3 linked regions of the Drosophila melanogaster genome follow. The protein of the gene in region 1 purifies or fractionates together with the protein of each later gene. This does not show direct contact. Each region holds a gene or a part of one and is shown on either strand. Other genes may lie near its edges.

Evidence for each region. Proteins that work in one complex are often made in the same cells at the same time.
Region 2: the proteins of Ns1 (region 1) and CG32344 purify together in Drosophila melanogaster (affinity purification with mass spectrometry, with the first as the bait; one large-scale study listed by BioGRID). This does not show direct contact.
Region 3: the proteins of Ns1 (region 1) and Nop56 purify together in Drosophila melanogaster (affinity purification with mass spectrometry, with the first as the bait; one large-scale study listed by BioGRID). This does not show direct contact.

The regions. Positions count from the first base shown.
Region 1 is NT_033777.3:17,068,043-17,075,575, reverse strand, and holds Ns1 (nucleostemin 1), read left to right. Parts: upstream 1-2,900; 5' UTR 2,901-2,972; coding exon 2,973-2,994; intron 2,995-3,058; coding exon 3,059-3,944; intron 3,945-4,006; coding exon 4,007-4,257; intron 4,258-4,320; coding exon 4,321-4,731; intron 4,732-4,800; coding exon 4,801-4,976; 3' UTR 4,977-5,053; downstream 5,054-7,533. Other genes in the region: Keap1, read left to right, coding at 1-73, 190-395, 460-1,238; mRpS11 (mitochondrial ribosomal protein S11), read right to left, coding at 1,841-1,948, 2,009-2,074, 2,238-2,338, 2,393-2,523, 2,582-2,778; Dad (daughters against dpp), read right to left, coding at 6,441-6,606, 6,676-6,826, 6,890-7,105. UniProt on the Drosophila melanogaster protein: May play a role in regulating cellular proliferation.
Region 2 is NT_037436.4:319,282-327,936, reverse strand, and holds CG32344 (uncharacterized protein), read left to right. Parts: upstream 1-3,216; 5' UTR 3,217-3,281; coding exon 3,282-3,284; intron 3,285-3,338; coding exon 3,339-3,888; intron 3,889-3,942; coding exon 3,943-4,697; intron 4,698-4,768; coding exon 4,769-5,044; intron 5,045-5,108; coding exon 5,109-6,008; 3' UTR 6,009-6,022; intron 6,023-6,573; 3' UTR 6,574-6,704; downstream 6,705-8,655. Other genes in the region: Atac3 (Ada2a-containing complex component 3), read left to right, coding at 296-391, 449-802, 858-1,070, 1,213-1,233, 1,398-1,515, 1,579-1,904, 1,963-2,057, 2,113-2,182 and 1 more.
Region 3 is NT_033777.3:22,417,144-22,424,157, reverse strand, and holds Nop56 (Nop56), read left to right. Parts: upstream 1-3,089; 5' UTR 3,090-3,201; coding exon 3,202-3,204; intron 3,205-3,367; coding exon 3,368-3,770; intron 3,771-3,835; coding exon 3,836-4,920; 3' UTR 4,921-5,063; downstream 5,064-7,014. Other genes in the region: pinta (prolonged depolarization afterpotential (PDA) is not apparent), read left to right, coding at 77-306, 364-562; mats (mob as tumor suppressor), read right to left, coding at 1,484-1,962, 2,024-2,190, 2,556-2,569; lqfR (liquid facets-Related), read right to left, coding at 6,848-7,014.

The DNA.
Region 1 (7,533 bases):
TGGCCGTGATGGACGAGCTGATGTACGCCGTAGGCGGGTCCGCCGGCATGGAGTACCACAACACGGTGGAATAGTAAGTAGTGTTCATCATTTCAATAGATAATAGTTTAATTAATTTGACAAAGCCTTTCTGGTTGTTTATTCTATCGACATAGTTTAGCAAACCCTATTTATTTAAATCTCTTGCAGCTATGACCCCGATTTGGATCGCTGGACTCTTGTACAGCCGATGCATGCCAAGCGCTTGGGAGTGGGTGTTGTGGTGGTCAACCGTCTGCTTTATGCCATCGGAGGTTTCGATGGAAACGAGCGCTTGGCCAGCGTGGAGTGCTACCATCCGGAGAACAATGAGTGGAGTTTTTTGCCACCACTACAAACGGGTCGCAGTGGAGCGGGTAAGAATGACTGGCGCATCCTGTTATCTAATTTCCAACTAAGTTCCGATTTAATTGCTATCAGGTGTTGCTGCAATTAACCAGTACATCTACGTTGTTGGTGGCTTCGATGGCACCCGTCAACTAGCCACCGTGGAGCGTTATGATACCGAAAACGATACCTGGGACATGGTTGCGCCAATTCAAATCGCACGCAGTGCTCTCTCGCTGACTCCGCTGGACGAAAAACTGTACGCCATTGGTGGATTCGATGGCAACAACTTTCTGTCCATAGTCGAGGTCTACGATCCACGAACAAATACGTGGACAACAGGAACACCACTAAAATCGGGAAGATCGGGTCATGCGTCGGCGGTTATTTATCAGCCGGCGTGTTCCACCACGTTTATGGACTACGAAGATAGTGACGCCCCACACCCGGATGGAAGTAACAACGGGGAAAGGAATGCTCATACACCACAAAACACGTACGGCAGTGGGAGTCCACATTATCCTGGGACGGCGTCCAATATGCAGTTTCATACTTCATACGGAATGAGCGGCTGCAACAATTGTGACTCGGAAATGGATATAAAACCATATATTCCTGCAGAACACCATAGTTTTCAAATTCCCGCCATTAGATCCGAGGAGCTAGTCAATCCAAACTGTCCTTGGTCCAGAATGCAGGAAAGATTTCGAAGAACTCCACCAGCGTCTTTCACAGATGATGAGAGAAATGCTAATGATATGCGGCATAAATTAAAAAAAGCACAAAAAGAATGTTTATTTAGCACAGCAGCGAAAGTTTTTCACCATCACATCGAAGGTCGCCTGCGAAAACTCACGAGCGCAGCCACATGACAATACGAATCCGAGCCTCACGCTTAGCCTCAACCAAAAACATCATTCATTGTACAAAGCCTGATCGTATCCCCTAGAATTCCATGTTGAGAAGCAGCATTCCATTGTAATATTACTTACTAGTGTGTTCGCTAGGTGATAATTAGTCAAACCGTTTTTATGGCATCCATAACATAACTGGCGCTCGTCAGCCCATTTTAAAAAGATTGATTAGGGTTAATAGTTGATTAGTGGGAGGAAAGTTCGTATTTTACGTATTTTGTAGGTATCCAAACTGATAGATTGCGTATTGTACTTTTTTTAACGTAGGATAAGAAGAGGAATTATGCGCATCCAAAATAGGTTTTAAGAAAAGAAAGCAAATAATTTAAGAAAAATAAAACAAACATATTTTACAAAGTTATTTAATCTTTTTGCTATTAATCTTGTGCAAACCTTTGGCCGTGGCAACAAAAAGGCCATATTCAAATATCTTCCTAATAAAACTCACCGTGACAGTGCTATTTATTCCATTAGAAAGATAAACTGTTGTTTTCGTATTTGTTTGTAAACGACTATTTGTGTATTTTGCTTTTAAACAAGTTGTCTTAACAAGTTGCACATTAAAGACTTCTCTGCTTTCGGGGTCTTGGAGGATTGAAGGAAACATGTGTGTTGTCGGTAATGGAAACGATGTTCAGCCCACCCATTTGCAGTCCTTTGATGGCCGACTGAATCAAAACATTTAATTATTTTTAAGTGACATGAGAGACAAAAAGTATTGAACATACCATTCTTCCAGGGCCAAGACCACGAACCTTTACTCGCACTGTCTTCCAGCCCAATTCAATGGCTTTCTGAAATACAATTTAAGTTTTTTGTTTTAAATGATTCTATGCCCATATTATACTATTCAAATGCATATATGGTATACAACTATAATGGAGATTATCTCGATGTTCTATGTAGTTTTTGACCATCCTACTTTGGTAAAACCTGTTTCTTGTGGAAATGACTTACTCCACTAATGGTAACCGCTGTAGCTTGAGCTGCTATGTTGGTTCCCTTGCGAGTGTTTTTGAATCCCTCAATTCCACAGGATCGTATCAGCCGGAGGACTCCTGGAAAGAGGGATACTTTAGATCACAGTTAGAGTAACGTTCCAGATGACCCACCTTTGTGATCCGTGACGGAAATAATTGTGTTGTTGGGTGAAACGCGAATGTTGCAGATGGGCAGCTCGTTGAAGGGTATTCCATTGAATAACGTGTTGGCGGTGCTGGCATCCGGGAAAAACTTAGCCTTGCTAAATGGAAAATTAATTGAATTCAAGACTATTTACAAATGTAAAATTGAATTCCAACCGGTTGATAAGTGTGTCGATGTCCACGGTCTTTTCGCCCACGGTTCCTTCGTCTTTGGCCGGTAAAGATGCCAGCATTTCCTTGCGGTCCTCCGCCTTCCGCCAGCAAGCGCTCGTGTGTATCCTAGAAGTCTGGAGCGGCACAGCGGGCATAGTAATACTCCGAAGAGCACTTAGAAATACACTTTTCAGTGACATTATTAATTTACTTCGCAGAGGGTTCACAAAAACCAAATTACATCACACTGCCAGTCTGGCAACACTGGCAGTGTTGGCTAGCACGCCACAACAAGTGGCCACGCTTCGTGGTGACTGACAAAAAGTCAAGAAGAAGACTATTTTCACGTGTTCTTGTTTTAAGTTGGTTTTGATTCCGGTTATCCTCGTGTAAAATGGCTTTAAAAAGGTTGAAGAGTAAGTAATAGTATATATGTATATACATTAAATGAAGCTCTACATCTATTGTCAAAATCCACAGCCAAGAAATCCAAGAGGCTCACCGGTCGCTTGAAGCACAAGATCGAAAAGAAGGTGCGGGACCACAACAAAAAGGAACGTCGCGCAGCCAAGAAGAATCCAAAGAAGGGTAGCAAGAAACAGAAGCTCATCCAGATCCCAAACATCTGTCCCTTCAAGGATGACATCCTCAAGGAGGTGGAGGAGGCCAAGCAACGTCAGGAGGCCGAACGTTTGGCTCGCCGCGAAGCCTTTAAGGCGGAACGCGAACAGAACAAGTTCAAGACGCTGGAGTCCATGGTCGAGGATGCAGACATGCGGAGCACCGTGCACGGAATAATGCACGAAAACGATGCCCAGGATCAGGACGAAAAGAAGTACAAGAACGCCGTGACCAAAGAGCAGTCATTGAAGCAGTACTTCAAGGAATTCCGCAAGGTGATAGAAAATGCCGACGTTGTCCTGGAGGTGGTTGATGCACGTGACCCCCTGGGAACCCGCTGCAATGAGGTTGAGCGCGCCGTTCGCGGTGCTCCGGGCAACAAGCGACTGGTCCTGGTGCTCAACAAAGCCGACCTGGTGCCGCGAGAGAATCTGAACAACTGGATCAAGTACTTCCGTCGCAGCGGACCTGTCACCGCCTTCAAGGCTTCCACACAGGATCAGGCCAACCGGCTGGGACGCCGCAAACTCCGCGAAATGAAAACCGAGAAGGCTATGCAGGGTTCTGTCTGCATTGGCGCTGAGTTGCTTATGTCCATGCTGGGCAACTACTGCCGCAACAAGGGCATCAAGACCTCGATTCGCGTTGGCGTCGTTGGAATTCCTAATGTAGGCAAGAGCTCCATCATAAACTCGTTGACCCGCGGCCGGTCCTGCATGGTGGGCAGCACGCCAGGAGTGACCAAGTAAGTTCATATTTATCCTTTATAGTACCTCGAACTTATACGATATATATTTATTTTTGCAGATCAATGCAAGAAGTAGAACTGGATTCGAAAATCAAACTGATCGATTGTCCTGGAATCGTATTTACCAGCGGAGGTGAAAACTCGCATGCAGTTCTGAAGAATGCACAGCGTGTGGGCGATGTAAAGGATCCTTTCACCATTGCCGAGAGCGTATTGAAGCGTGCCAGCAAGGAATACTTCTGTACGATGTACGATATTACAAACTACGACACATTTGAGGAATTCTTCGCCAAAAAGGCAGCCAGAATGGGTGAGTACTATGAATGCTTACTGCTGTACATGATAATAATCCATTTCTTTACCTTAATTATAGGCAAATTTCTAAAGAAGGGAGTGCCAGATGTTGTGGCTGCAGCAAGAAGCGTTCTCAACGATTGGAACACGGGCAAAATTAAATACTGCACACAGCCTCCGGAAGTTCAGGAAGGGCAAAGTGTGCATATAAGTGCCTCGATAGTACACTCAGAGGCTCGCGAATTTGATGTGGAGAACTTTGAGTCCATGGAGACGGAAATCTTAGAGCATTGCGCCGTGAAAACGGATGACATTATGGAGATAACGTCTACGGGGCCTTTAGAGATTCGACAGCCGCGTGAGGAAGCCGAACCTGCAGATAAAATAACTGCCAGTTTGGTAATAGACGAGAAGGAAAAGCCCGCAAAGGGTCGCAAACGAAAACTGGATGAGGAAAAGGAGAAGGTTGATCCCAGTCTACTCCTAGAAGGTAAGCAAATCAAAACCATTACCATGGAACATAAAAATGTATTAACGCTGTGTTATTTATAAATTCTAGAAAACCAATCACTGAATAAAGGCATAAAGCAGATGCAAAAGCTAAAAAAGAAACAGAATGTTCGCAACGAGAAGAAAATATCCAAAATTACAGACGTTCTGGATAGCTTTAGCTTAGGTCCATCCTCGTCCAAGGCAGAAAAATACGATTTTGATGAGGACTATGTGATTGAATAAATTCTGCCTTAGTTTTAATAATTAAATCTGTAGATAGTACACTATAATATAGAAAGGTGTAATGTCTCTGAAAAACTAATATAACTTTTTATTACTTTGGAAGGATGGCTGCATCCATTTCAGAATCGCAATTGTGTTCCCTTCTACTGGGTATTTCACTGTATTCCCTCAAAGAAGATGAACATATTGTAAATGTTTAACGTGGATCGCATTTATTCTTAGAACGAAATACATACAAGGCTGGGATTCTAGGATGGCCTACATGCAGTTTGGTTTGGTAAGGGGTTAAAGATCATCTAGCGCACGGATTTCAAATAGAGCACCAGTTCCTCGAATTCGCATTTGCTACTGTTGGAAATGCAAACGAAGTTGGTGCTTCGTCAATGGACATAAAGTGATTACAGATTTAAATAAAATTATTCTATGGTATTCAGCTCATGTAAGTATCGTGTTGTGATATCTTTTTATACACTTGACAAATGACAGATTTTTTAATTTAAACAATGAATGTACGTAATAATGACAACGAAAACAGTCAAAATATCAACATAAAACAAATAATGTTCGAACATGACGTGTGCTTTCTAAAGCCGATTGGATCCTAATGCGCTAGAATCTAAAACCGTATTGAATTTGTTAATGGTGTTTTTTTGTTAGCCTAGGATCTATGCAGATTCTACTGAACAGATTTGTATTTCAGTGATGTTTGGTTTCATTTGGGTGGGGTATAAATTATGGGCTTGGGTTTCTTCTAAAAACGTCGCATAGAAAATGTAGTGGCTTTTTGAATGTATTGCATCGTAACTAGACTTTTCGCCATTCTCAAAACTATTAACCCTGATGTGCCTTCTGTTAAGTATGTATGTTAGATTAAATATTTATACATATCATATAGCTACTGGCAATGGAGCTCTAGCCCCTTGCATCGGTACGTCCTACATGTGTATATATATAGAGTGAATCACAGGATTTCAATTTTTGCTAAGTATTTTTAACAATCAATTACTATGTATTTCGGCTCGACTCGCTACGACTTCTCGTCACCGCTTTCTCTCTCTCTCTCTCTCTCTTTGCTCTCTCTCTCTCTTAATGCGACTCAGATGCGTTAAAATTAATTTCGATGTGTCTACTAGCAGTAATTGAAACTTGTTTCGTAATTATGTATATTAACATTTAAAATGATTTCTTTTGCAGTCCTTTGTTGTTCCAAATTATTGGTTGTTTAGTGTTTAACTGGCGGCTCGATCTCCTGCCCGCCAGACAACGCCATCTCGTCCTCGCCGGACGATAATCCGTCAGTGCGCACACCTGCCTGCACAGCCTGGTCAGCAGCTTCTGCGCCTTCTGCAGCAGTTGGCGCGATCGCCAGCTGCTCACCTGATCGCAGGCGCATCCCATGCCCGGCTCAACCAGGTGCTGGGATGCCGAATGAGGTCCTGCCGAACGGGCCAGCATCAGGTACTGTCACCGCAGATGACTAAAGTGAACCTCCAGCCAGCAGGGGCAGCCCATGATATCCTGTCTTTTGTAGTCGCGTCCCCAGCCCTTGCCAAAGCTGATCTTAATGCTGAAGTAGTCGACGGGTCCCATGGGATGATGTCCGTGATCTCTCATGCTCAGAAGTTCAGCCCTGCGAAAAGGAATAAATATACATCATAAGAGGCTTTGACAACTGGTTAACTTTATTGACGGATCTTACCTATTGGTTTCAAAGGCCTTCAGACAATAGCCCGGCATCACTTTGCACACTCGGTCCAGATTTTCGGACAGGGTGGGTGAATCGACAAAAATGGTTGTATTCCCACGATTGTAGATCCAAACATCGCCGTTCTCCAGACTCAATGTGACCCCTGTGAGGCGGACCGGACTCCGATTAATATATCTTTTCACGTTAGTAAATCCTTTTCTCTTACCCAATCCGACCGTATGACGCGCTTTTGGCACCACCGAGTGGATCTGATTGCCTGCTGGTGTGAGGTCACGTAGGCACATGCTGTCCACCTCACTGGCCACAATCCCATCCGTGTAGATATTGACTGCATTCGTTTTGGCGTGAAAGAACTCCCCGACGCGGTGGGCCATCTCCCAGTAGGCGATTTGGCACCACACCTGACTGTTGATGTTATGATCTGAAATTTAAGGAAAACACAATGCTGTAGATGCAGGTATCTATTTGGATAATAATAATTCCAAAAAACAGTTTAAGAAATCGTAATTATGTATGTACATGCTACTGCAAAGATTAGATATGAATGAATTTACAATGTCTAGTTAAGTTGCTTATTTATTTGTGAGATTGTCAACTCATTAAATTCATAAAGATGCCTGCGATAAAGTTATTCCCATTAATAACTATTATTCAAATCGCAATCTTGTAACCCGCATACAAATTGCTAGCTAAAGCGGTAATAACTCTTTCGCCGGCCAATAAAATGTGATTTAAAATTGCCATAACATTCAAGCGATATCGGGGGAGTAAGCGCTATATATCGCCATATCGTTTGAAAATACAGAATACAGCGAGTCTCGCATTCAAATATTCACATTCACATTACGT
Region 2 (8,655 bases), on another chromosome or scaffold:
GCTGTGATTTAAATTTAAATGTAAAAAACGGCAACGCAGAAAATGATTTAAGTTTAACATGATTTTAGACGATTGAAGAAACTAATGCTATTGATGCTATATGACGAAAGCTATTTCAAAAACAATTTTATCTGATAGGTGAGTATAAGCCCTTTTCTATGTCTGGTCACACCGCAGAGATCTAAAAACGTAAACATTCATAATTAAAGCCATTCTTAGCCTTTGCTTAATAAACTTATTGAAGTAATGCCAATTATAGGCCTTCACTCGTCCCTGAAAGTGTTCTTCTGCTAAAATGCACAGTCTCGGCGCCAGCAAAGTCGTTGCTACTCTCCGAGCGGATGGTCACGTCTACCCCATGGAGAACTCCAACCTGATGCACTACGAGATCGTAAGACTCGCGGTACCTTGCTTGTAATTCACACTAACCGAGGCGACTCCTTCATAGCGCACCGAAGGGGATGTCCAGCAAAAGAAGGGGATCCTGGTGGGTCCGGCCACATGCGTTGACCTGGGCAAACAGCTGCTCCAGTGCGCCAGAGACAGCGATGTAGCTGGGGTCAAGGCGGCGCTAGCGCATGGAGCTCCCTTCGCTTCCGACTGGCTAGGTATGTCGGCACTTCACTTTGCCGCCATGAACAATCAGCTGGAGATTTGCGAAATCCTCCTGCAGGGGGGCATTAACATGGATGGCAAGACCAAGGTAGACCGAACGCCGCTCCACCTAGCCTGCTACTACGGTCACGAGCGGATAGTCAGCTTGCTGCTAGCGCTAAAGTGCAGCGTCAACTCCCGCGACATGGTAAGAATATATAAATAAATGACTGTTTAAAATGACTAACCAACATTCCTGTCAGCTTCGCATGACCCCGCTGCACTGGGCGGTCGAGAAAAAACACAAGGGAATTGTGCGCCTGCTACTCAAGTGCCAGGCAGATGTCACCTTGGTCTCCAAATTCGGCAAGACGCCGATCGGACTTGCCGTGTACACGGAACAAGCGGATGTGCTGGCGGAGTTGGAAGCGGCACGACAGGCGCAGGCCAGTAAGAAGTTACACGAGGAATCGGAGGTGAGTGCGCTTGAAGAAATCCACTGAAGGCCATATTTACTACTTAATATGAGGTTTTACTTACGTTTCGCTTGGCTGTTCCTTATTCTTAACAATACAATTGATCGCTGCCTTTTCCCACGCTGCGCTTATCAAACTTCAGCAACAAGCACATAAGACCAAAGTATGTACTTTCGACAACTTGTATTAGGTTGTCACAAATAATAGCAAGAACATTCCCAACTTTGGCCTACATTCCTGATCCTAAAAAATTGTGACAAATACTTTATTCCCAATTGATTCGCAGAAAGAAAAATCATATCATATTTATTCCCCATCGATTTGCAGAAGGAAACCAATGAAGCTGTCAGCTCAATAATGGACGAACCGGAAGTAATTAAAACCGTGGACGACAAAGAAATGTCGGTTGAAGAACGAATGGATGTCCTAGAAAACATGCGAGGCCGTAAGTTACTAGATTCGGAGATATTAAACGAATATTTAACGAAAAACCTATTTTCCCTGCCAGATGCAAACGTCCTGCGGAACACTGCGCTTTACATACTAAAGACGCACGAAATCGCAGACATGGTGCAGGACAACGATGACGAGGACTCGAAAGAAATGCTGAACACTGCGTTGCAGAATGGACGCCAACTTGTCCTCTCTGAAGGAGGACGCATGCTGCTGCACGAAACAAAATCGGGCATCAGCGGCAAGCAATCCACGAACGGAAACGCCCGGCCTTCGGTCGCAGCGCTCCGCACAAATGTTAATAATTCTCATCCCAAGATTCGGATGAATGTCCTGAAGCAGAAGGATCTTCCGTCACCGGCGGGAGTTGCCAAGAACAAGGTATGCATTTCATTGTTTTGTTTCGCTAATTCGTATAATAATTAATATTTGAGGGCAGAATATACGCATTATCTCGTTGACTGATTTTAAGAAACTCTACGGATCGGACAGCACGGCAAAGTCCCTTCAGAAAATACCCGCCTCATTGGCAAGGTACGTTAATTTCACATATTTGGGAGATATATATAAGATCTTGCCTTATCGACAGCTCTGGAATGGTGCGGCATCTTCCCGATGGCACAAAGCTAGTCAACATGCGCCAGTTGCAGGCTCGACAGGTGAATATTAAATAGTTTCTGAGCTCACCTCCTTACTTTACTTGAACCCCGCTTAATTAGTTAAAGCTCCCCTCCCTGCAAAGGCCGCAGGATCTCACTGCGCTAGAAGAATCACACAGCCAGAACGAAGCCGCGGTCCCATCCCCACTGCCTTCAGGCCATCCCGCGTCGGGCAGTTCGCTTAGGGGACAAGTGGGCACCGTCCAGACGATACAGCTGCGACCTTCACTCTCGGCAGGATCCGGCCAAGGCGCAGTAAACAACGGGGCGGCACCTGGCAAGACAATCGTCAATGCGACGAAGCAGTCGCCGAAATCTCCGAACGTGATGCCGCTGCTAACTTCTTCTGAGATCTGTCGCCAGCTTCACGAGTTGCGGCGTCAAAACGAAGACCTGCGGCGGCGGGCCGACTCCTTTCAGCGGGAAAAGGAGGAAATGCTGAGGCGCATTGACCGCCTGGAGCAGATGGTGCTGGTTCAAGAGTCGGAGGCGGACTTGGATTTTGGAGAGGACGTTTAGTTAATGCAAAGATAAGTTTAGCGTAAGTTCGATAAGGTATATTTAGGATATTCAGCCGATAAGTGCATTTGTAAAGCACCCAGTTTAATGACGATTTCATACCATTTCTTATCGAAACCTTAATAACTTGAATGCTATGAGAGCTTTAAACCAATTCGGATGTCGATAGAAATATATCGTTTAAAAAATTCATTTTCAATCCATAATCTGCACAAGATGTAGCATTTATTTAATACATTTACATAGCTATTAAATCGCACCAGTCTTTTATATCTGTTATTTTCCCGTTTGGTCGAGGTCTTATGAGGTTTTTTCCCTTTGGGCATATGTAAGCTATCCTCTAATTTTAATCGGCAGTGTATATATGGTCGATTTAAAAGATGGTCTACTCAAAATAGTAAATATTAAAATAATAAAACGCGAGTTAATCAAATGAAAATCTAAGCGCCAATTACAATGCGGTATATTGTAGCGTTAGTCAATTTTTAAGAAATCAGTGTTGGATAATTTATGGAGTTATCGATAGTGTGGAATAGTCATCGATTTTGCACGTGTTGTTTTTATTCAAAACAAAAAAAATATGGTAAGAGGATTGTCTCTTGTTGCTTAGCTTTCAATACATACTTTGCATTGGCAGCGTAAGAAGCAGGCGGATGAAATACCAGGCTTTCCATCACTGGACAACGATGCCGGCACCAGCGACCGGGGCGCCGACATTCTCAAGTCCAAGTCCAAGAAGAACAAGAGTGGTGGATTCCAGTCGATGGGCCTGGGCTTCGAGCTGATAAAGGGCATCACCAAGCGGGGTTACAAGGTTCCCACCCCCATACAGCGGAAAACGATTCCGCTGATCCTGGAGGGACGCGATGTGGTGGCAATGGCCAAGACGGGCTCTGGCAAGACGGCCTGCTTTCTGATTCCGCTCTTTGAAAAGCTACAGAGGCGCGAGCCCACAAAGGGGGCCCGTGCCCTGATCCTGTCTCCGACGCGCGAACTGGCTGTGCAGACGTATAAGTTCATAAAGGAGCTGGGCCGCTTTATGGAACTGAAGAGCATTCTGGTGCTAGGTGGCGACTCCATGGACTCACAGTTCTCGGCCATACATACCTGTCCGGACGTAATTGTTGCAACGCCAGGTCGTTTTCTTCATTTGTGCGTAGAAATGGACTTGAAGCTAAATTCCATAGGTGAGTTGATAGTTGCGGACCATAAAAGCAGGAATTAATTTATTTGCTCTCTAGAGTACGTGGTGTTTGATGAAGCCGATCGACTCTTCGAGATGGGCTTCGGCGAGCAACTGAACGAAACGTTGCACAGATTGCCATCGTCCCGGCAGACGGTCATGTTTTCAGCCACGCTGCCAAAACTGCTAGTAGAGTTCGCCCGTGCCGGACTGAACGACCCAGTGCTCATTCGTTTAGACGTCGAATCCAAGCTCCCGGATGCGCTGGCTCTAAAGTTTCTGTACTGTCGACCAGACGACCGCTACACAGCACTTGTGGTTCTTCTTAAGTACGTTATTCCGGTGCAGTCGCAAACCGTGGTGTTCGCCGGTACTCAGCACCATGTCGAACTCATTTCGTACATACTTACTGAGGCTGGAATCTCCAACGCCTCAGTCTACTCCAGCCTGGATCCAGCTGCACGCAAAATAAACACCGCCAAATTTGTGAACAAAAAGGTGTCCGTGCTAATAGTCACGGACGTGGCCGCGCGTGGTATTGACATTCCCAGTCTAGACTTTGTGGTGAACCTGCACTTCCCGGGTAAACCGAAACTGTTTGTCCACCGGGTAGGTCGTTGCGCTCGCGCTGGTCGCACAGGAACCGCATACTCTATTGTATCCACAGACGACACAGCACATCTACTGGATCTGCACTTGTTCTTGAACAGACCCTTTAATATACACGACAGCTCGGCATTGGGAACCATTCCGCAAGATTTGCTCGAGGAAGAGCACCTCACAGTGACCGATATAAAGAAAAGTCACCATATTGTAAGTTTCAAATGGAGTGTACTGCATTTTATGGTTTCTAATGATACGTAATTGTACATGTATTTCTGCAGGCCGGAGTATTGCGCACCAGCGAAAACGCCTACAAAAAATACTTGAGTTCCCGACCAGTAGCCTCCACGGATGCCAACGCGCGTGTAAAGAAAATTAAATTCTTTGCTCTCAAGCCATTGGAGGATTTCTTCACAGCTGCCCCTGTGCTCGCCCAGGCGGCTGAAGCTAGTGGACAATCAACAGAGTCGCAGGCAAAGGTGAGCGCCGCAGAGCGCAAGTTGCAGGAGGAAAAGCACGATATACTGGTGAAGATGCGTAGTTTCCGTCCTGGTGGTGTGAGTTTCTCAACAGTTTTACGATAAATGCTCGCTCACGTATTAGTAATTGTGCCCTTTTCAGACCGTTTTTGAACTCAACACCACTCAAAAGTCCACGCAGTTTATCGTTATGAAGGAAAAACGAATGCAGCATGCGGAAGTAATCAACAAGTTTAGGCAGCAGCGCGCAGAAGAGGACATAGACGAGGAAAAGAAAACGATCGAGGCGCTCAACCCAAGCTCAGGCAGAATGCCCACCGCCGACGAGGAAGCTATTAGTAGTACTTTCAATAAAGTCGTTGCGCCCAAGAGGCTCCAGAACATGGACGCCCTTTACAAGGACAAGCCAAAGAAGAAAAAGCGGAAGATAAACAGCAAGGACGAGGATCACTATGTGCCGTACCAGTCGGCAGACAAGCACACAGAGGATGGTCTGGCCATTAACAACTTTGAGCGGCAGGCGCAGAACGCCGAGTTTTCGGTGTCGGACCGCGACTTATCCCAGGAAGTGAAGCACAAGCCCGGCCTTAAGAAGTGGGACCGAATTAAGAAAAAAATGGTCTCTGTACAAGATCCGCGAGCCAACAAAATTCGGACCGAGTCCGGTGCGTGGATTCCTGCCTCCTTTAAAACAGGTCGTTATGCTGAGTGGAAGGAGAAGTCTAAGATCGAGGACCAGCTGCAGCGCGAAAATGCAGGTAGTGATGACGAAAACGCCAAGCCGTTGAGCCATGCCCAGCGCTACCCAGTCAGTCGTCATGCGCGGCACAACTTAAAGCTAGAACTTAAGAAGCGACTGACCGGAAACGACAAGGAGATGCGCCGCCCCGAGCAAATTGTCAAGTCTCGCATGCGACTGGAGTTCATTAAAAAGCGCAACGAAGAGAACGCAGAGAGGAAAAGCGAAAACCGCAAGCGCAGCATGCGGAAAACGCAGCGCCCCAAAGCTCAATCAACTGGGGGCTCGAAAAGAAGGAAGTAGGAGTTTTTACGCAGGTTAGTACAGTTACACCATATCTTTCATTTAACTCCTCCCTACCAAAACGGACAATGTTCTAGTAGCACACCATTCAATTGTAAAGTCAAAAGTGAGACATGCTTTTTAGTTTTGCGCCCTTGATTTCGGAACTAAGTCCTCCTTTCACACGTGACCCAAATAGAACACGGCGAAGTATGTGCGTGCCGAGAGATGTGCCACAGGGTGTGTTTACCCTGCGCAGGTCAAGTGAGGGTAGGCTCCGGTTCGGATTCGGGCGCGCCTGTCTGATGACACGCACATCCTGTGTGCCTTCTTGCCTGCGCCCACGAACAGAAAAAAGAAACAGCTGCCACCACTTATTCATCTCGTTCTGTGTTTATAGATCTGCTTTCAACAGCTCCGTGCCTGCATCAATTACAATATCGCACTGCTGCCGCTTCCCGCAGATAGTCACGTAATTGACTGGTTCCTTGCTACTTTTAATATAAATAAATGAACATAATCGAAATTGCGTAGGACAGTATTGCCGCGACTGATTGTATCATTTTTTTTTTTTATCAATCCACAGAAGCATTGGGACCGACGTTCAGCGCATGGGTAATGTTCTGACAAATCGCCTTCCTCCAATGAAACACTCCCCATATTTGTTTACTGGATGTAGAGTGTTTTTAAAATAATACACAATAAACGATGAACTACACTTTTTAGACTTGGGTGTGGCGACAGCCACCAAAAATGCAGCAGGAATGACATGAAATCAACCGAACCAACGAATCCTCCCATTTCGTTGGGTTCGTGTGTTCCAAAAATACTTTCAGGGCGCATATGGTTTTATTTCGATTCCCCCTGGACCAGTTCGCACTCTCTTAGTCGCTGTCGATTAACCCAGTGGTAGAAGCCACATGCCAGATGCCACATGAGCATGGGGCAGGATCACCCATACGCTTAACAACTTCTGCTCACTAATTCTGCAGTTGAGGGGTGCTCAGAATAGGCCCAAATTTTATTTCCGAACATGTGTCTCCAGATTTTTCTCAGTACTTGTAAAGGGTCATTTCCAAGAGGTGCTTATGGAATATGTTTCTCTAAAATCCGCATGGAAACCCCGGAAAGGATTCGACGAATGCCGTTTTCTCGGATCATCATAGTTTAGTGTCACAGAATTTGTACATTAATAGAAATATCCGATGTCCACAGAGACAAAACCATATGGGTGTAACAAAAATAGTTGTCTTGCAGTGCACTTATTGATTGAGATAAATAGATAAATCCCAACAGAAATGGTGGACGCAAGTGAAATGAGATGGAAAACCAAACGCGAGCTGTTCGTCCACATAGCAGCCAAGCATTTTGAGCGGACGATCATATCCAAGAGCCAATTCAAGTCAATCAAAAAAATGTGGCTTGCGCCAGGGGAAAGGGACCGATCGCAGTGGCCTGCAGCACAATTTACATTGCAACGACCAATTTAGAGATTGTTGAACTCACGCAGAACCAGGCTGCGGCTGTCCGGTCGGAAAATTTAATCTACGCCTTGAGATCTCAACATGTGGGCATGTGTGCTATTAAATTACTATGTCTGAAGGCAGCTTATCATGCATTTTCTAATTTGGGACGCTCAGACAATTGCGCAATTTAGCGAGGAATGCTTCTAAGCGTCACTTAAAAACAAATTATTTTATTCATGCCCTCACCAAATGCAACGAAACCAGAGCAGAATTGGGTGATAGGTTTCACACCGGCAATATGGAATGCAAGCGCTACAAATGAGATATTTTCGGCAAGAAGACTCACTCGTCACCGATTATACTAGGATGCAGATACGTTCGAAAACCTCTTTGTTTCGGTTAGTCATTCAAAAGTCTCGAATCGGTTAGTATACCCGCTTACGCTACGAGTAACGGGAATACCGATTCACTCAACGAGTAAATGGTATATTTATTGAGCCGAAAAGGTCGTTGCACAGTGTGACCGCACAGCCCAGCAGAAAAACGCGCTAGCGATTACTCGAGTCTCCGTCGAGTTCCCACAAACTCGCCGAGCAACGCGTCATTCGAAGAAAAAAGTCGATTGCTTTGGACGTGTAGACGTCCGGTCGTCGCGTAATTTGTTTTTGTAGTAGAATACAAAGGAAGCAGAAGCGGATTACAGATAATTTTGAAGTGCTGCAGCTGTGCATAATAAGGTGGTAAACACAGTCCAAAGGAGTACGCGCCGCTTCATTCGTGCACCCTTGTGTATCGACGATGTATACACACTATGGGCGCGTCTCTTTTTGTTCCTTCGCGCGTGTGTGTGTGTGTGTCTGACATCGCCCTGCCTGCGTGTGTGTCTGTGTCTCGCCCCTCGGTCGCAGCGAGCAGAGCAGCCCTCTCCTCTTGTCCCATAAAGTCAATGTACAACTTGTTTATATTTAAGATTTGAGATCGACCCGATACTGGCAAGGAAGCACGCAGAATGCTGGTGGAATATTGAAACAAGTGTCGTCGAATTGTGATTTCTCGTCGAGTGAATTTTCGCACGCACACAACGCCAGCATTGCTCGCAAACACACGCACACAAGCGAAACGAGATTTTGCAAGTCGCGTACGTGCTGGTAGTGGTGCCCGTTGTAGTTGTAACCGTGCCTGTGTTGGTGTGGTGTTAGTGC
Region 3 (7,014 bases), 5.3 Mb from region 1:
TAATAATATGAAATACGATAAGTTTCGTCCACATTTTTTCCTCCATATACTTATATCTCCAACCTTTGTTTCCCAGACCAGCAAAATGATATTGGACCTGCTGCTAAAGCTCGATCCGGAGACCTGTGCCCGCGGAATGGTGGCTATTCTGGATATGCAGGGCGTTCAACTGGGGCACGCTCTTCAAATGAATCCGAAGCTCATCAAGAGATCCGTGGAAAGCTGGACCGCATATCCATGTCAGCCCAAGCTATTGGAATTCACCAACGCCCCGCGCCATGTGAACTTCTTTTTGAACACCTTTAGGTGGGTTGTATGTTCTAAGTCAAATTAGAATTTACTATATATTATCATTTTTTTTAGAATATTCATGACGCCCAAGATAAGATCGCGACTTTTCGTGCGTCGTGAAGGAACATCCGTGAGCTGCGATCAGTTGCCAAAGGAACTCGGTGGTCAGGGATTAAGCTATATGGAGCTGTCTGTGAAGTGGAAGCAGTTGGTCGAGGAGAACGCCGATTTCTATGTGGAACAAGACAAATACAAAAGCAAGCTCAAGTGATTGGGGTTAGTGTGGCGGCAGTGATAACAAGGCGATTAGCCGAATGTTATAGATTAGTCGAAAACATTTACAATGCGCAAATGCACAAAGGCGCATATCAGTTGTCATATTTTATGGAAGGGTACTACAAATACTCCCTAATTCCCCACTTAACCATATTTGTATATATTATAAGTCATTACGTTAAACCTTTTTAAAAAAGGTTATTTTCGTTGTGTTAATCATCAATGTTATCTTTTTTTTTTTGCTTAATAAAGTGTCAATACACGATAAACCAAACAAAAAAGAGACGAGTTTATTCATAATATTCTCTTTATTAGTATAAAACGTATCAAAAATGTTTATCAAGTCTACAATTATTATCAGTTATTGGGTGCTGCCGACCGTCGCCTCAAATTGCTGGGGTTTGCATTACAAAATCGCTTGATCCGCTGAACCGCGAGCAATTAGCGATAGTTTAATAGTAATAAATACATAGAATACATACAGAAAGAAAAACGATAAACAAGGAAACACGCATAGTTTGTGAACGTAATATTTGTTGTTTCTCGAAAGCGGGAGGTGTTAGTTATAAAAGGCGTGCTGTTGCTTTTGCTGCTTTTGTTTTCTCCTTTACATATACATATAAATATGATTTATACGTTTTTACGTTTCACATATAAAAATATAGTAGTTGCTCTGGATCAGCAATTAGCCCGCTATAGTTCGGTTCACATTGCCAATTGGCGGTTTTTTGTTTTCTTTTGTTTAGTGGGAGGCACCCCATGAAGCAATGAACGAAACATAAAAGTATTGGCGGTAACTAACTAAAGCGTAATACACGAGTCTGCCAGAGCGCTTTCATCACAAGTCCAACTGCAAGCGCAGACCACCACCACCGCCGCCGGAATCGCGAAAATTCGCGGCTCCATGCAGTGATTCCTATATCTGCCGCTCATCCTTAGCCGTCAGCTTGTCGATGAGCTCCTGCAGCGGGGCCAGTTCGCGCCGCTCAATCAGATTGAACTCCTGCACGAAGAAGATGAAGTGCTTGAAGGACGTGTTGAGATGGGCCTCCTCGCCAAGCGTCACCACCTCTGTGAAGTGCTGGTGGTAGATGTGCGCATACACGCGGAACAGACGCTTCAGTATGGTCTTGGCGGAGGAGTGAAAGTTCTTTGGAAACGGCACGCCGATCTTGGAGGGAAACAGGGTCTCGTCGTCCAGCTGATCCTGCACCCAAGTCATCAGATAGTCAATATACTTGGGCGCGCTGCACTTGATGGGCTTCTTTACGGTCAAACCGTCGGCCCAGTGGTACTCGTATTTCGGACCAGCCGACATGATGCCACAGGTCTCCTCGGTGCAGAACTCGGTGATGGTGCCGTACAGCATGTTGATCTGGTTGAAAAAGTCCACGGCTGCGAAGGAGTGGCAATAAGAATTGGTTATCTTTCGCTAGTTACACTATACTAGACTCACTGTTAACGGCCACCCACTCGTTGAGATCCTCGCCATCTGGAAGGGCCACTGCATTGCGCAGGTTTCCCGATCCCAGCGTGGCTGCCGCATGCTTCATGAGATCATATTGGTGTGTGCCTTCCGGGATGTTCTTCTTGGGCTTGAAGGTCTTGCTGGAACGGGAACCGCTGTGGAAAGAGAAAGGCAATAAGTCGCGGCCCCAAACAGCCCCACTCAGTAAAACATAATACAGTAAAGATTCTATAGATTGAAACGTAAGCGACTTCGTTCAATTTACACTCCCTAAAAGAAATATTTCCTTTTTTTTTCTTTTTTTAAATTCACTGAGGAAGAATGCAAGATATCTTTGAAAAGCTATTTTTTAAACACCGCAGACAAAATTAGGGAAGTTCCACTGTACAAGAGGTTGGGGATATCACCCCAAAAAGGGCAAACAAAGCCGGAAAGTCAGATGTGGGGCGGGGTGATCCAAGCTTTCTTTGTGCTCGAAAGGATTGCAGTTGCACTACGTTTTGCCCCCCTGAGAACTTACAACAAGAAGTCCATGGCATGCAATTGCTGTGCTTCGCCTTTCACTGAGCCTCCAATGGAATTTTCCTATGCGTAGACTTTTCCGGCGAGTGCCACACCGCTTTTTCGGCTCTTCTGTGTCGTGTCAGCAGCTTTATTCCGCCGATTTTTACACAATTAGCGCCGAATAATAATTAAAGAAAAGTGACTGGAATTCGCAGCAGGTTTCTTTCTCTGGTCAATTGGGAAATGACAATGATGGTATCTGTATCTGGCCTCCAGTTGGTCGGTCTGTTAACTAGTGCCGTAGCCCAACAGCTGATGCGAGCGGTTCCAGGAAGTGTGCCGAGCCAACTAGTTAATTCTGTTGTGTTTATAAACGCAAAAAATTTGTTATAAATAAAAATAAAATTGCTTTCACACACAGAGACAGTTGATGAAAGTGCGAGAGGGACAACGCGACAGGTTATCAGGCTATCAACGTGGCCAGCCTGTTAAAATAATTCAGTACGGTACTGCGGTATTTTATCTGGTATGTCCCTAACATTTCGCAATCGGCTTGCTATGGTCACACTTGAAGTAAGCACGTGGGAAAACAACTGTAGCAGCATCGTGGGTGTATAAAAATATATATTTCTTAATTAAATCGGCATATATTCGGCATAGACATGGTAAATATTTCAGTGCAATAATCATATATTTGAATTTTCTGCGGGTTGCCCGTGAAATGAAAATGTTTTCCCTGCGAAAACTAACCTACACACGCGGAGCACCCAAAACCACATGTGTCTGCCACCGCATCAGACTGATAATTTTTCATTTCCCCGCCTCCAGTCGAACCTGTATGTGCTGTACGAGCATGCGGCGGGCTTCTCGCTCTTCTCCGTCAAGGAGTTCGAAGAGGTGTCCATGTTCCTGCCCCAGGTGGAGTCCTCGGTGACGGACCTCGCCAAGTTCAACTCAATTGTTAAGCTGGCTGGATTTGCACCTTTCAAGACGGCCATTGCCGCACTGGAAAACATCAATGCCATATCCGAGGGCATAGTGCCGCAGGATCTGCTCTCCTTCTTGGATGACTTCTTTGCCAAGCTGAAGAAGAAGAAGTGCACCCTGGGTATTGCGGATGCCAAGCTGGGAGCTGCAATCACCGAGGCCATTGGCGTCCAGTGCAGTCACTTTGGAGTGGTTCCTGAGATTCTGCGCGGCGTGCGATTCCACTTCGCTAAGCTGGTCAAGGGTAAGCTACCTGCTTTGCAAGGAAAATCCTCTTTGTCTAACTAAAGCCTCCTCCATCCGATGCAGGATTCACCGACAAGTCCGCTGGCGTTGCTCAGCTGGGTCTGGGCCACAGCTACTCGCGTGCCAAGGTCAAGTTCAATGTTCATCGTTCCGACAACATGATCATCCAGTCGATTGCTTTGCTGGATCAGTTGGATAAGGACGTAAATACCTTCTCTATGCGGATACGCGAGTGGTACTCGTATCACTTCCCAGAACTGGTCAAAATCGTTCCCGACAATTACATGTTCGCCAAGGCGGCCAAGTTCATCAAGGATCGCAAGAACCTCACGCAAGACCAGCTGGAGGATCTTGAGAAGATCGTCATGGACTCCGCCAAGGCTCAGGCTATCATTGATGCCGCCAAGATGTCCATGGGCATGGACATCTCCATTGTTGATCTGATGAACATTGAGCTGTTCGCAGAGCGCGTTGTCAAGCTTTCCGAGTACCGAAAGAAACTGTCTACCTACTTGCACAACAAGATGAACTTGGTGGCACCCAATCTGCAGTCTTTGATTGGCGACCAGGTCGGTGCCCGCCTGATATCGCATGCCGGCAGCTTGACTAATCTGGCCAAGTACCCAGCATCTACAGTACAAATCCTGGGTGCCGAGAAGGCGCTCTTCCGTGCTCTAAAGACCCGCTCCAATACGCCCAAGTATGGTCTTATCTATCACTCCTCGTTCATTGGTCGAGCTGGCCTGAAGAACAAGGGTCGCATCTCTCGATTCCTGGCCAACAAGTGCTCCATCGCGTCGCGTATCGATTGCTTCCTGGAACAGCCGACTAGCGTGTTTGGCGAAACTCTTAAGCAACAGGTCGAAGATCGCCTCAAGTTCTACGAGTCCGGCGATGTGCCGCGCAAGAACATTGAGGTAATGAAGGAGGCCATCGAGGCAGCTGGTCAAGAGGCGGCAATCACTGTACAGTCCGAGAAAAAGAAGAAAAAGAAGAAGCGAGCGGCTGAAGACGAGGGCGAGACGAATGGCGCCAGTAATGGAAACGGAGCAGCCGCCGAGGCGGAAAATGGCAATGGCAACGATGATGGAGAGCCAAAGAAGAAGAAGAAAAAGAAGAACAAAAACAAGGAAGCGGTGGAGGCGTAAATGTCTCTGTTACATTCAACTTAGTTTAAGTCCACACTATTATCTTTTACTTACATGCTTCTTTTGTATTTCCTTTGACCCCCTGATGGATCGCATTTCAAATAATAATAAACATATACTTTGGAGGGTATTCCCACCGGAATTTTATGAGTTTGCGTTTTAAATCAAGAGACTATCATAATTATTGGTTTCAATTGTTTTATATTTCATATTTGCTTTACATTCAATTTATATACAGACACATCGTAACGTTAACTATTGCTAAAATTGTTTGATTTTATTACGTGTAGTATTTTGTTTAACAATTTCAATGTTGGATCGCTCAGCCGTCCGTCCGCGCGTTGTGCTAACGAATCCGTTTAGTACAACCATTATTCAACTACTCTGTGTATTGCATTTGATGACGACTTTCAAATTCCGAGTGGACGATCAGGACGGATGTGGAATTAATGGGTTTGATCCGGAAAATTGCATCGGGGGTAAATTGTTTAACAACGAATTTAGAAACAAATTGCACGTGTCGCAAACTTTGTACAGCAAGGGGAAAGGAAAACGTAAATAATATATAGAACTGACAAGTTTAGCGATCGTGGAAATGTGAATGTGAGAGTGGACATTTTGGGTAGTAGGTTGGTTGGGTTAAATTAGGCTAAAAAATATCATTGAAACAAGTCGAATGCCGACGAGCTATTATTGTTATTATTGCTGTGATTCTGCTGCTGCTGCTGGAAAGCTCCAAAGTTGGCAAATGCTGATTGGTTTTGTGGAATGCTTTGCTGCGGTGCCGGAGCCCCAAAAATGTTCGGACTGGTCATTGGCGACAGTCCAGGGAATCCGCCACCCGTCTGCACATTCAGTGGCGCCTTTGCCGGACTGTTGGTCTTCAGGGCATTCATCGAAGGGGCCGGGGCACTGGGCTTGCCCGACTTGCTCATCAGCAGATTGTCCAGGTCAATGTTCATCTTGCCGCCCTTCAGGTCGCCCGACCAGGTGGCGCCCACAGCGGTAGACTGGACACTGGCAGCGGCGGGGACTGCGCCTCCGTTGGTATTATTGTTATTATTGGTCACCGACATGGGCTGGAGCAGATTATTGCCCGTGACGGCGGGAATGGGAGGCATCATATTGTCTGGAAAAAAACAAATGCAATAATAATGTTATTCGGGGTTTCAGTTTTCGTTTTTATTTTGGTTTCACAAAAAGCTGTTTTAAATATGTGGCTTCGATAGAATTGCGAATGCGGCTACTTGGTGATCGGCTAATGAGGTGGTCACTACTCGGAAGCGTTTGCGCAGCAAATCAAGTGCAATTACAGAAGGAAAGAATAGGTTCGTATCTGTTATGTGGCTATTGCCGTTTTGGATTGGTTTACCTAATGAGTCCGTGGCTGCGGAGGCCGCACAATGCCCGGAATATTGAGAAATGCTTTTCAATTCATCATTATTAAGTACATATGTATGTATATATTTGAGAAATAATATTGGATCCAATGTGTGTGTGGTTTGCAATACAAATATGCAGTAGGAGAAAAACAAATAAACAAAAGAAAGTAGTATAAATGAAGTAAATCCATATATGTATACCTGGAATACAATGGCTTCGAGGGCGATAGATATTTAAAAAATAATTCCTAGAACTGTTGTCTTATTTCTAGCAAATACCTAACTCTCGAGTCTATTATTAGTTTATACAATTATAAGAAAATGTTTAAGGACACAGCGTTAACGTTTGTATGAGAATTGATGTAAAGTATGAAGTAATCTTGTATTTAATCATATATATCATATATTAATTCGGAAATATTTCAGTAAAAAATTGTTCGTTTTTCCGTAACAAGAAATATGCTTAGTGTATTTTAAATACAGTTTTAATATTTTAAATCTCTTAAAACTCTATAGGCTGCTTTCAAAACTTTTTGATGGCCAAGTTAGGCAGCCTGTTCCATGGCGGCTGTATCAAAGAGTTTGTAGCAGGTGTCCAAAATGCTTTGGGCCAGTTCACGACACTCCTCCGAAGTCTCTCCGCCCACCAATGGCGATCTTATGAAGTCATTCAGCCAGCGCTGCAGTTCGTTCAATGACTCCGCAAAGTGCT